Tribolium castaneum: one gene and its partners. The protein of the gene in region 1 purifies or fractionates together with the protein of each later gene. This does not show direct contact. Links are inferred from orthologs where the notes say so. Each region holds a gene or a part of one and is shown in the gene's direction. Other genes may lie near its edges. The genes, in order: RYBP, CkIIbeta and chromobox protein homolog 3.

Region 1 (3,893 bases):
GTCCAAAATCCCGTAATGTGGGCTAGATCGACCCAACAAAGACGTGGATCCGCTATTCTATCGTGTAAGCTCTCTTACGTTGCTGTCAGTCAAAACTTTGCCATGAATGCACCATCCAAGAGTCCTTGTTTTGTCCTGCTTGTACATTAGGCAATACCTTTTATGAGCCGGATTATAAAGACGTGGATATTGCCTTATATTTTGTAGAAATCTGTGTGAACCCGCTTATTGTTAATTATTTCGTGATAATGAGCGATTACCTTGAACGGAAAAAATGCAATAGTGTTGCTGCAACTGAACCCTTTGAATTTAATTACAGCGTTAGTTAAATTAAAATTAACATATTTTAATGAACGAATAATTTATGCGGCAGTAACGAGCGCAATTTTCCTATTTGGAGTACGGAGATTGTTCATAACAAACGTTGAATAAAATGCAACAATAGAAAATGCATTTTTCAAGGGAAATTTCTGCATTTCAGACGCAGTACTATTGTGATCATATCGGATTCTAAATTTATTTGTAGTACAGAACTAATTTATATAATTTCATTTATCTGATTCTATATCATATGAAATATGCTAATTAAACCATGATCAAAACAATTTAATGTTTTAGGTATTATTTCCATGAGAGCTTTAATTGTTATAGAAGATCTATCCTAGCTGAAAAAAAAGAAACGAAAAATTGTTGGAAATCGTAAAAATAGCAAGTGTTATCGTCAGTAAATTAACTTACAATGACAGGACACGAATAGGCATACACAGAAGAAATCCAATGATTTTATTATGAGAAAATACAAAACAGTTATGCAAGAATTTACTTGAGAAAGAATAAAATACAAAGCTAGATTTAAAAAAACCTGGTGATTTAATTTTTAAACAACAGCAATGACGTAGTAAATTTTTGTAAATGTAATAATGGAAAAATTGTCAAATGATGAAAATAGATAATTTTAGGCGCTATCAGCTGCTTTTTTGTTTGTTGCTCTAGGTCATACAAACTCCAGAAAAAACGCAAAAAAGGTCGCCATTTTCACTTTTTTTTTAAATTTTTAACCGCCGATTAAAGCGAAACTGTTAAACAGAGTCAGAGAAAAACGGTAAAATCACTGAGAATCGGAATAAAAAGCCCTACAAAAATGACATAGGTTTCAAGGCGATATCTTGAAAAAAAAATCATTTTTCAAACGCCGATTATCGCCAAACTAAAAGAGCTAGGAAAAATGCTTTTTTCCATCGTAAAGAGCACATCAAAATCTATCGAATAAGATAGGTTTTATTTGATAATGAGACATTTTTAAAATTAGCCATTTAAAAAAAATGCAAATAAATGCAAAACCGCTCCGAGTTTAGTTTTCCAGTTGTAAATTGAAATCAGCTGATTCCTTCGAATCAAACTCGGCGCCACAATGCTGCCACCCTTTGCCACACATGCGCACCATTCTCCTGTCAAACTCGAGTCAATCATGGCGTTAGACGTGTGTTTTGGCTGTCAGCAATCTCGTAAAAAGTGAATTATCCCACAATGGACCACAAGAAAAGCCCAATCCGACGCGCAAAACGTCAAGCAAAGGTGCTCGAGGAGAACTTCTGGGACTGCAGCGTGTGCACGTTCAGGAACACAGCGGAGGCGTTCAAATGCCTGATGTGCGACGTCCGGAAGGGCACCTCGACGCGCAAGCCGCGTATCAACCCGCAGTTGGTGGCCCAGCAGGTCGCCAGCCAATTCCTACCCGCCACCAGCCAACAGAAGAAAAAGGACAAGAAGGCGATGAAGAAACGGCGCCATCCACCAAGACTCAAGAATGTGGACAGAAGTACGGCGCAGACACGCGAAGTCACCGTCAACAGCGTCACGGTCATCATCACCGAGTACAAGCCCAAGAGCAAGTCCACGGAGACGATCTCCAGCTCCAGCTCTTCGGATCATGGATCGCACTCGGAGAGCAGCATGGACGCGAGGTGAAGGGTGGCGTGTCAGTGACTCGAAGGACAATGACGCCTGACGTCGACTTTACTTTGATTGTATATACAGGGTGAGTGATTAAACGCACCGTCTTTCGTTGCCCTCTTATGATTTAAACGCAAACAAACGACTAGTGGAAGCTTTGTATACGAAATATTTGCGATTATCAACTCCGGAAGTGAGATTGTTTTAAATATTTGTTAAGGTTATTTTCTCTTTTTTGTAGTGTAACATTGTTGTCTCTGTTTCATTATCTTGTGTAGTTCATAAAGGATTGTTTTTTTTTTCGTAAATAAATGCAATTATTTGATTATTTCGAATGCACACAATGTCAAAGAGACGCTTTAATTACTTATTAATAAATGGTCAGTAAAATAATAAATAATAAAGTAAAATAAAGTATGAAACGAAAACCAAATATCACTCAAAAAATTTGCGTTTATTGTAGCTTCTTTTTATTTCTTTGTATGTACTGTGTGAATTTTTTCAAAGCGTCATTAATTTAATCCGCAATTAAATTCGTAATCACGTGACTAAATTCTTTTTTACTGTAAATATAGAAATTTTCGCCGAATTTCATCATGAATCAAAAAATTATCAAATTTGTGTAAGGTTTTAGTGCATTTTTCAATCAGAAACTCACTTATTCGCGAAATTTGAATTCAAAAAATACTAAATTGGGTCCAAAGCACGAGATAAATTCGTTCTTTTTTTCCTTGAGGTTTTTTCATCTTGATTTTTTATATTAAAAAAAGCATTATTTCCACATCGGTAATGAAGGTTTTGAGACTTTTTTAATAAAAATGAAAGCGCGTTCAAGAGGAAAAAACCGACAACACCGTATTCACATTTTTTTTAACTTGAATGAAACGGAATCTATATGGTGTTTGATGAATCTTTCGGAAACCGGAGGTTTGAAAACTTTGAATTACTTACAACTTCCACTAATTGTTGGGCGCTTAAGTTATAAGAAGGGAATGAAAGAATCGGCGTTTAACGACTCACCCTGTATGTTTTTGACTATCATCAGAGGAGCCAACGGAGATAGTACTCGATTCCTAGCTGTCACTGCCCCAACCAGCTGTTGTTCAACGTAGACGATTTACTTTTTCGGGTTTCGAAGAAAATTTTATCGAGTAAAGACTGTGAAGGACTTTATATACCCGCATTAAATGCATTTATATTATGTAATAATATTCGAAATAGCTAATTTGTATTATAAATTGTTGCTCATTGTTAATGTATTTATGAGTGATGTCCGTATGTTTGTTTGATGGAAAATGGTGTGTGATGAATAAATTCGAAATTTTCTATTTTTCAGTGACTTTCATTTTTAATTTAAGTGGATATCTACTTGCCAATGCAACGTTATTAATATTTTTTTTTGGTTGTGTTGAAAACAGTCGCGTGCTACTTTCATAATTTATTATGTACTAAATAATGCATTAATATTGTTTACTTAAAAATAACTTATCAGATATTTAAAATTTCACGTACTCAATGTGTTTTAAAATTTAATGATTTATTTAGTGGTGAACCCAAAGAGTTGTACAATTGATAATGGTGAGCTAATAGGGGTTAGGGTTTTCATTCCATCTAGTATATGCATACACTTGAGTAATCGCCATCAAATTACCTGATTGTATAAGTTCTGTCACTAATAATATTGATATTAATTGGCCTTTTGAATATTAATTGTGTTACAACTTGAATTAATCAAAAATAATTGAAACGACTGATACCAGAAATCACAAATTACGCTTCACTTACGGTAAATTAATTAACATTCAGAATCAAATATGACAGACGTCCTCAAAGCTTATATCAACAGGTAAGTTAGAAATTGTTATCTTTAAAAATAACGCGACCAGGAACTGATATAATATTAATTCAAGTAAATTTTTAATTCGCAATTTCAAATTGAA
Region 2 (3,813 bases), on another chromosome or scaffold:
TCCAATTAACTAAACACACCGTGGAAGAAAATGCAATGTATTATAACCACTTGTTTGTTTACAACACTCTCCCGCACAAGAGAATGAAGCCGAACAATAAATAATCTGCTACAACCTTGACTCGCAATTAACAATCACAATAAACCAATTACTACATTTTGGTGTAATTTAGCCTTTGTTTAAATAATGATAACAAAAGAGCCAGAATTTATTTATGAGTCAACAGTCTTCAAAAACCGCAACTAGCACGTCCCACTTGTGCAAGCAGATTTCTAAAAGTAGATTGGGTTTTCACTTTTCAACTAACAATAGGCGGTTAAAAGTTTATTGTCCGGTTCAAATGGAATTAAATGTCACTTAATAATTCGGGTGACGACGTCGCGGCGCCTAGGAAAGCCTTCGACTAGACCGGCCGTCTGCGCAAACTAAAAATAGGGAAATGATCCGATTTTCACTATTTTTATCTAGTTTTCACGGTTTTGGGTTACATAATGTCATCAAAAGAAAATTATTTATGGTTGACTATGTTTAGAGAGCGGAGCGCAAATCGGTCATTTTTATTTTCAGAAAAAAATTATAGTGTTTATACAGAGATTTTTATTGGAAACACATCCACACTTTTCGAAAAGTTGCAACAAACGTGCTGAACATTTTCAAAAAAAACTTTAATAAGCAGCTAAAAAGCTATCCTAATGAGCTCAAAAAAATAAATAAAAATAATAAAAATAATAATAATAATAATAATAATAATAATAATAATAATAATAATAATAATAATAATTTTGGAGAAAGAAGAATTGCTGATGTTAAAAAACGCTCTTAGCAGGTTTGAAAAGAAGTAATACATTAATGTAGAAGATTGTAGAAGATTTATAATGCCGGGCGGAGTCTTAAACTGCCTATTTTGAAAATGCCAAGTTGAAAAAAATCTTGGAAAAAGTCTCATTTAATAAGTTAAGACACACATGAATGCAAAAGTGCAAAAGTTATTACATAATATGTTGATTAATGAAGTTGATATGAAATTTTGATAACGGTACATTGTATTGAAAATAAAAAAAACATTTTATAAGTGAATATTTTTGATTAATTAATACTACTGTATGGATAGAAAAAAATACAGGGTGAGCGCGAGGGTGAGTTATTTTTGATTTTTTCTTGGATGCAACCCCGTTTGCGTGTGTGATAAGTTGTGCACGCCGTTCTGAGGTTTAACTGTAGTTAAAAAATCCCACTTGTAATTTTCAAACTTAGCGGTTAAAGCTGTCATTTAATGCCGTCACTTTCCGCTAGATGAGCCCAACATCAACTCTTTTTTCGCGTAGATGAAGTAGCGTAAGCGTGGCTAATCAAGGTACAAAGAGGTAAAATTCTCAAATATTTCTTTCCCCGATCACAATTTAGCCCTAATCTCGTCATTTGCCAACCCTCCACATCCCTTCTAAGCCCAAAAATGGGAAATTAACGTCGTAGTTGTGTCACAAATGTCATTAAACGTAATCTAAACATAGGGTTGGACAGCCACAACCGTCTCAAAATTCCAATTTTCTAAATAAATCGGAAATGTTTTAGGAAAATGAGCAGCTCAGAGGAGGTTTCGTGGATTTCATGGTTTTGCGGACTTAGAGGAAATGAATTCTTTTGCGAAGTAAATGAATTTGCCTGTTTTAAAGACGAGATTTTTGAGTGTATTTGCAGGTGGATGAGGATTATATACAGGACAAATTTAACTTGACGGGCTTGAATGAGCAAGTTCCGCACTACAGGCAAGCTCTTGATATGATACTAGACTTAGAACCGGGTATTTTGAACCCATCCCTGGTTTCACATTTTTTTAACTCGGCTTTTTAGATGATGAACTTGACGATAATCCGAACCAATCCGACCTGATTGAGCAAGCGGCCGAGATGCTTTATGGGTTAATACACGCTAGGTACATTTTAACAAATCGGGGGATCGCCCAAATGATTGAAAAATACCAGTCTGGGGATTTTGGGTATTGTCCACGAGTTTACTGCGAATCGCAGGCAATGCTGCCTTTGGGTAACCCCAACACTTTTGGTATTTTTTTGGGTAATGGTTTGTGCTTTAGGGCTGTCTGATGTACCTGGGGAGGCAATGGTCAAGTCATATTGCCCCAAATGTATGGATGTGTACACACCAAAGTCTTCAAGGCACCACCATACAGATGGGGCCTATTTTGGGACAGGTTTCCCTCACATGCTCTTCATGGTGCACCCAGAATACAGGCCAAAGCGTCCAACAAATCAATTTGTTCCTAGGTATAGCCGAACTGGCGTGAGTCTAATTGAAAGTCTGGTCAAGAGTGCTTGGCGAATTTAATATTGTCAGTTATCAAGTGACAACTGAGAAGTCAAAACCTACTTCATTTCGGAATTTTTGGGATGTTACGTATAATAATCCTCAATAACTTTACACGAAACGAAAAATTAGTCATTTTTTTATTTCGTTGTTTTTAAAGCATTGTCTTGACCCCGCTTTTATTTAGACTCACTTGATTTTTTTAGAATTGTTCTTCAACAAATGATTTCAGGTTATTTGGTTTTAAAATTCATCCCCTTGCTTACCAGTTGCAACAGCAAGCAGCCTCGACTTTTAAGGCGCCTCTGAGAAGTTTGAACTTTAATAATGGTAAACGTTAATTTAAAAGGTGTATACATTTGATTTAATTTATTTCTACCCCAAATTTGTGTATTCTTGTATGTATGAAATTAAATCTTGATTATTTTCTTTCATACTTTTGTATGGCGTTAACTTTGCATAAGGTTAAAAATGTGCAAAAATTCCATCATTTTTATAAATAGGGTTCAATGTATAATAAATTTCCCAGTTTTGTTTTTATAAATGTAAGGATAGTTTAATTTAGAAGCGTCACCGGTTTCGTGTAAAATTAACTAGCATTCAAGTTTGTAAATAACTGATTAAAAAATTCAGATGAGTTGGTGTGTCATGCCTGAGCTTAATTAGTAAATAGAGTGGTCAAAAGTCTGAATTTTTCAATCACACAGCGTAATCTAAGATGTATAAATAACACATTTTAAATAAAACATAGGAAGCAAACCTAGGTTCTGTATTTTTACTTAAGGTAATCACAACCAAGACTAAGTTATGAATTCGCATGTTATCAAATAAAATTTTCTGTTTTTCGTAAGAATCTTTATTTGACCCATTACATAAATAAAACACAGATCAAAATAAACTTATATTTACGCCTTAAACAAAAATTTATCTACAAACACACGCGCGCCTACTGGAACGAGTAGCCCCCGTTCTGTTGCCCCCTCAGCTGGGAGGGGTCCTCCATGGGGGGCATCTGCGGCTGGAACTGCTCCGCTGACAACCTAGTGAACAAAATCCCGACTCCTTCAATTAAAGCTAACAAAACGCCCCCAATGAAGGCGCTCCCGGCCATGGCCGGGAGCCCGTTTCTCGCCGCGAGGATGCCCCCAGTCGCGGCCCCACTTATAATGGAGTTCCAGGGGTCCTCCTTTTTCCTAATGTGGATTAGGGCGCAGTCAATTGTGGAGAACATGCCGCCCCAAACGGCAAAGTTGCCGGCGATTATAGGGGACCGTTGCTTGATAGCAGCCAAACTGCCAACCTAAAACGCAAAATCACCACGGGCTTGTGAAAGGGGGCACATACAAATCGTCTGTTGAAACCCGAAGGGGCGTTGCGAAAGCCTTTAATGCTCTGGAAAACGCCGCCGCCGATGAGCCCCATAGTGAAGGCGCCCCCACAATCGTCCACGATCCTCCAGGGGCATGGCTCACGCGTGTATTCCTCCATCAA
Region 3 (2,830 bases), on another chromosome or scaffold:
TCTATAAGAATTACAGGCTTGAACAGCTGAAAATTTCAGACATAATCTATAATACGTAGTTTATGTGTAAAAATTGATAAGAAAAAAATTTATCTATACCCAAATCAATCACATAGGCCATGCGTCCGGGCACAAAAATCTCCGACCGTTCAATATGCCGACTCTTCAGCGCACAAATCGTGTGGTAAATCGACTTCCCAATCTTCGTCTTAAACTTAAGCTCATCCTCATCCTTCTTCTGCACCTCCTTCTTCTCCTTCTCCTCCGTCTTGGCCGCCAGCCTCTCCAACTCCTGCTCCTGCTCCTGCTCGATGTGCTGTATCTCGCTCCTCACCTTCTGCAACAGGGCATAATCCAGCCCCTTCACCAAATGCGTATGCTCCATATCGCCCCCCAAGAACTTGCTCTCTTGAATCATCTGTCGGCGCCTCTCGGCCGCATCGAACCCCGACTTCAGATCAGGCGCCACGGCACGATAGGCCTGAGCCGTGGCCACCGGGTCGTCGCTCTGGTAGTCGGGGTTCACCCCCTGGCGGCGCTCACTGGCCCTGTCTCGGTACTTCTCCGCCAGTTCTGCCATCTTATTGTCCTCCTGCTTCTTCAACTTGGCGTAGTAGCTCTTCTTCTTGCGTCGCGCCTCGTTCTTGTCGTCTTTGGGGGGCGGCATCGTCGACGAGTTGGCCATCGCCTCCCGGATGGAGCCGGGGGCGGGCGCGTTCGCGGGCGCCGACCGCGGGGTCATCAACAACTTGCGGAAGTCGTCGTTGGTCAGCCGCTGCGACCCGGGGGCCGCGTCCGAAGGCATTTTTAACCAAAAACTGGGCCTGAATGTTGCAACTAGAACTGTCAACTGTCAATCACATAACCTTGCTTCCTCCTAGCCAGAAAAAAATTACAGTGAACCACTTCAAATGAGACCAAATAGCCCCAAAATGCTAAAAACAAGCTTTTTGCATTTACTACAATTACTATCGCGAATAATTAACCAAAATAATCAAGGAAAAACAGCAAATTCTTGTCGATAACACGTAGAAAAAATTAAAAAAAAAACAACTTTCCAACCCTGTCCCACAACTAACACTTAGTAATTATTTAATTAAGTATTTTTGCAAACCTACACGTATTTTTTTTTGCAAACAAAATTTATCAAAGTTTCAAACCAAAAAGTGCAGATTCAGTTGGGGCGCCTAACCACCGTTTTTTTCATACTGGGGGGGCTTTACGTTACGGTGAATAAACGCAAACGGCTTGAATAATAAATAATTCACCGGAAATATCACTATTTGGGGCTTTTAATTCATTAAATTAGTAAATAGGGGTGTAGGAACCTGCTTGTTACCGGCGGAGCGCACCTCCGCCATGTTTGTTTGAAAATTGTGAGCAAAGCGTCTGTTTTGCGGCTTTTGAAGTTATTTTAATTTCTTGCACGAAATCCCTCCAAAGTTGAGTAAAATTCGGCGTAAGTGTGCCCCGTGCGCCCCCCGGTGTGTACAGTGTGTTTTCTCCATCAGGGCACAATGAGCAAAAGCAAGAGGACGAGTCCTTCCCCCGCAGACCAAGAGGCCAACGAAGAGTACGTTGTGGAGAAAATAATCGACAGTCGGATAAATGCGGCCGGTATTAAGGAATACTACTTGAAATGGATCGGTTACGACGACAAGGACAACACATGGGAGCCCGAGGAGAACCTGGACTGTCCCGGGCTGATTGCGGCTTTCGAGGCCGAAAGGGCCAACAAAGACAAGGAGCGCAGCAAGAAGCGCAAGATGAACAGCACGCCGACGCCCGACATGAAGGGGGCCAAGAGGAAGAACGACGAGAAGAAAGTGCACGGGTTTGATAGGGGGCTAGAGCCCGAAAAAATAATCGGGGCCACGGATAGTTCCGGGCAGTTGATGTTCCTCATGAAGTGGGAGGGTACAGATGAGGCGGACTTAGTGCCCGCGAAACAGGCGAATATTAAGTGCCCCCAAGTTGTCATTAGGTTCTATGAAGAGCGTCTCACTTGGCATTCGCCCACAAATGACGAAAATAAAGCCGAGTGAAGGCTAGTTGTAAGGATATTCATAATGTACATATTCAACACGAATTATATACTATTATTAGACGAAAAAATCATTTGGACTAAGTAGGCGTTTAGAATCTTCCCGTATTATTATTATTTGAATCTGACTCCCTAGCTGTAAGTTTAGTTTCTTGACTTAATCAATAGAAAATTGTAATAATTTTTTTTATTTGAAATAAAACAAAACACCATTGCTTCGTTATCACTTATCACCCGAAAATATCATGAAAAGTGGTCCCATTGTACCCCACATCGCTAGTCGGCGCGTTCACGAAGTGAATATACATCCTAGAAACACAAAAAGTACAAAACCACACCAAAGACCCAATTACCGGTCCTTCGAAACCCCCAATTCCTTGCACACAACTTCGTACAAAGCCTTGGCGTGCTTTTTGTTTGGTTCCACGCCCAAGGCGCCAATGCTCATCAGAGTGGCTTGAGCGGCGGGCTCACTGGTGCCCCCCCAAGACATGTGGACGTCTCCGATCACAGTAGCCACACAATACTTGAAAAAAATTGAGTTATTCAAAGTTGACGTAACCTCAAACTTACATTGAGTGGCTTTGATAAGGAATTTGAAACAACTTGGCACAATTTCTGAGGCAAATCGGACGGGATTTTGCTCTGGGGCACGTTTGTCTCAACGCGAAAGTGAGGCATTTTGCGGAAAAAAATTGGCGGTGTTTTTATAACCTAGAAATGGACGTCAGAATTGACCTCTGGGTGACCTCCCAGGGGGGGGCGGGAATTTATACAAAAAGTGTA

Evidence for each region.
Region 2: the proteins of RYBP (region 1) and CkIIbeta purify together in Homo sapiens (affinity purification with mass spectrometry; 5 studies listed by BioGRID and IntAct, counting the BioPlex papers as one, with this or other methods). This does not show direct contact. The link is inferred for Tribolium castaneum from reciprocal best matches to the Homo sapiens genes YAF2 and CSNK2B.
Region 3: the proteins of RYBP (region 1) and chromobox protein homolog 3 purify together in Homo sapiens (affinity purification with mass spectrometry; 4 studies listed by BioGRID and IntAct, with this or other methods). This does not show direct contact. The link is inferred for Tribolium castaneum from reciprocal best matches to the Homo sapiens genes YAF2 and CBX3.

Annotation. Positions count from the first base shown.
Region 1 is NC_087396.1:24,591,087-24,594,979, forward strand, and holds RYBP (YY1-associated factor 2), read left to right. Parts: upstream 1-1,423; 5' UTR 1,424-1,527; coding exon 1,528-1,968; 3' UTR 1,969-2,038; intron 2,039-2,998; 3' UTR 2,999-3,285; downstream 3,286-3,893. UniProt on the Homo sapiens protein: Binds to MYC and inhibits MYC-mediated transactivation. Also binds to MYCN and enhances MYCN-dependent transcriptional activation. Increases calpain 2-mediated proteolysis of YY1 in vitro.
Region 2 is NC_087397.1:979,933-983,745, forward strand, and holds CkIIbeta (casein kinase II subunit beta), read left to right. Parts: upstream 1-1,220; 5' UTR 1,221-1,364; intron 1,365-1,572; 5' UTR 1,573-1,576; coding exon 1,577-1,648; intron 1,649-1,698; coding exon 1,699-1,801; intron 1,802-1,851; coding exon 1,852-2,043; intron 2,044-2,092; coding exon 2,093-2,282; intron 2,283-2,554; coding exon 2,555-2,663; 3' UTR 2,664-3,167; downstream 3,168-3,813. Other genes in the region: mitochondrial import inner membrane translocase subunit Tim17-B, read right to left, coding at 3,269-3,622, 3,667-3,810. UniProt on the Homo sapiens protein: Regulatory subunit of casein kinase II/CK2.
Region 3 is NC_087401.1:16,339,844-16,342,673, forward strand, and holds chromobox protein homolog 3, read left to right. Parts: upstream 1-1,302; 5' UTR 1,303-1,459; intron 1,460-1,511; 5' UTR 1,512-1,517; coding exon 1,518-2,045; 3' UTR 2,046-2,256; downstream 2,257-2,830. Other genes in the region: beag (protein Red), read right to left, coding at 100-805; macrophage migration inhibitory factor homolog, read right to left, coding at 2,275-2,353, 2,398-2,570, 2,618-2,725.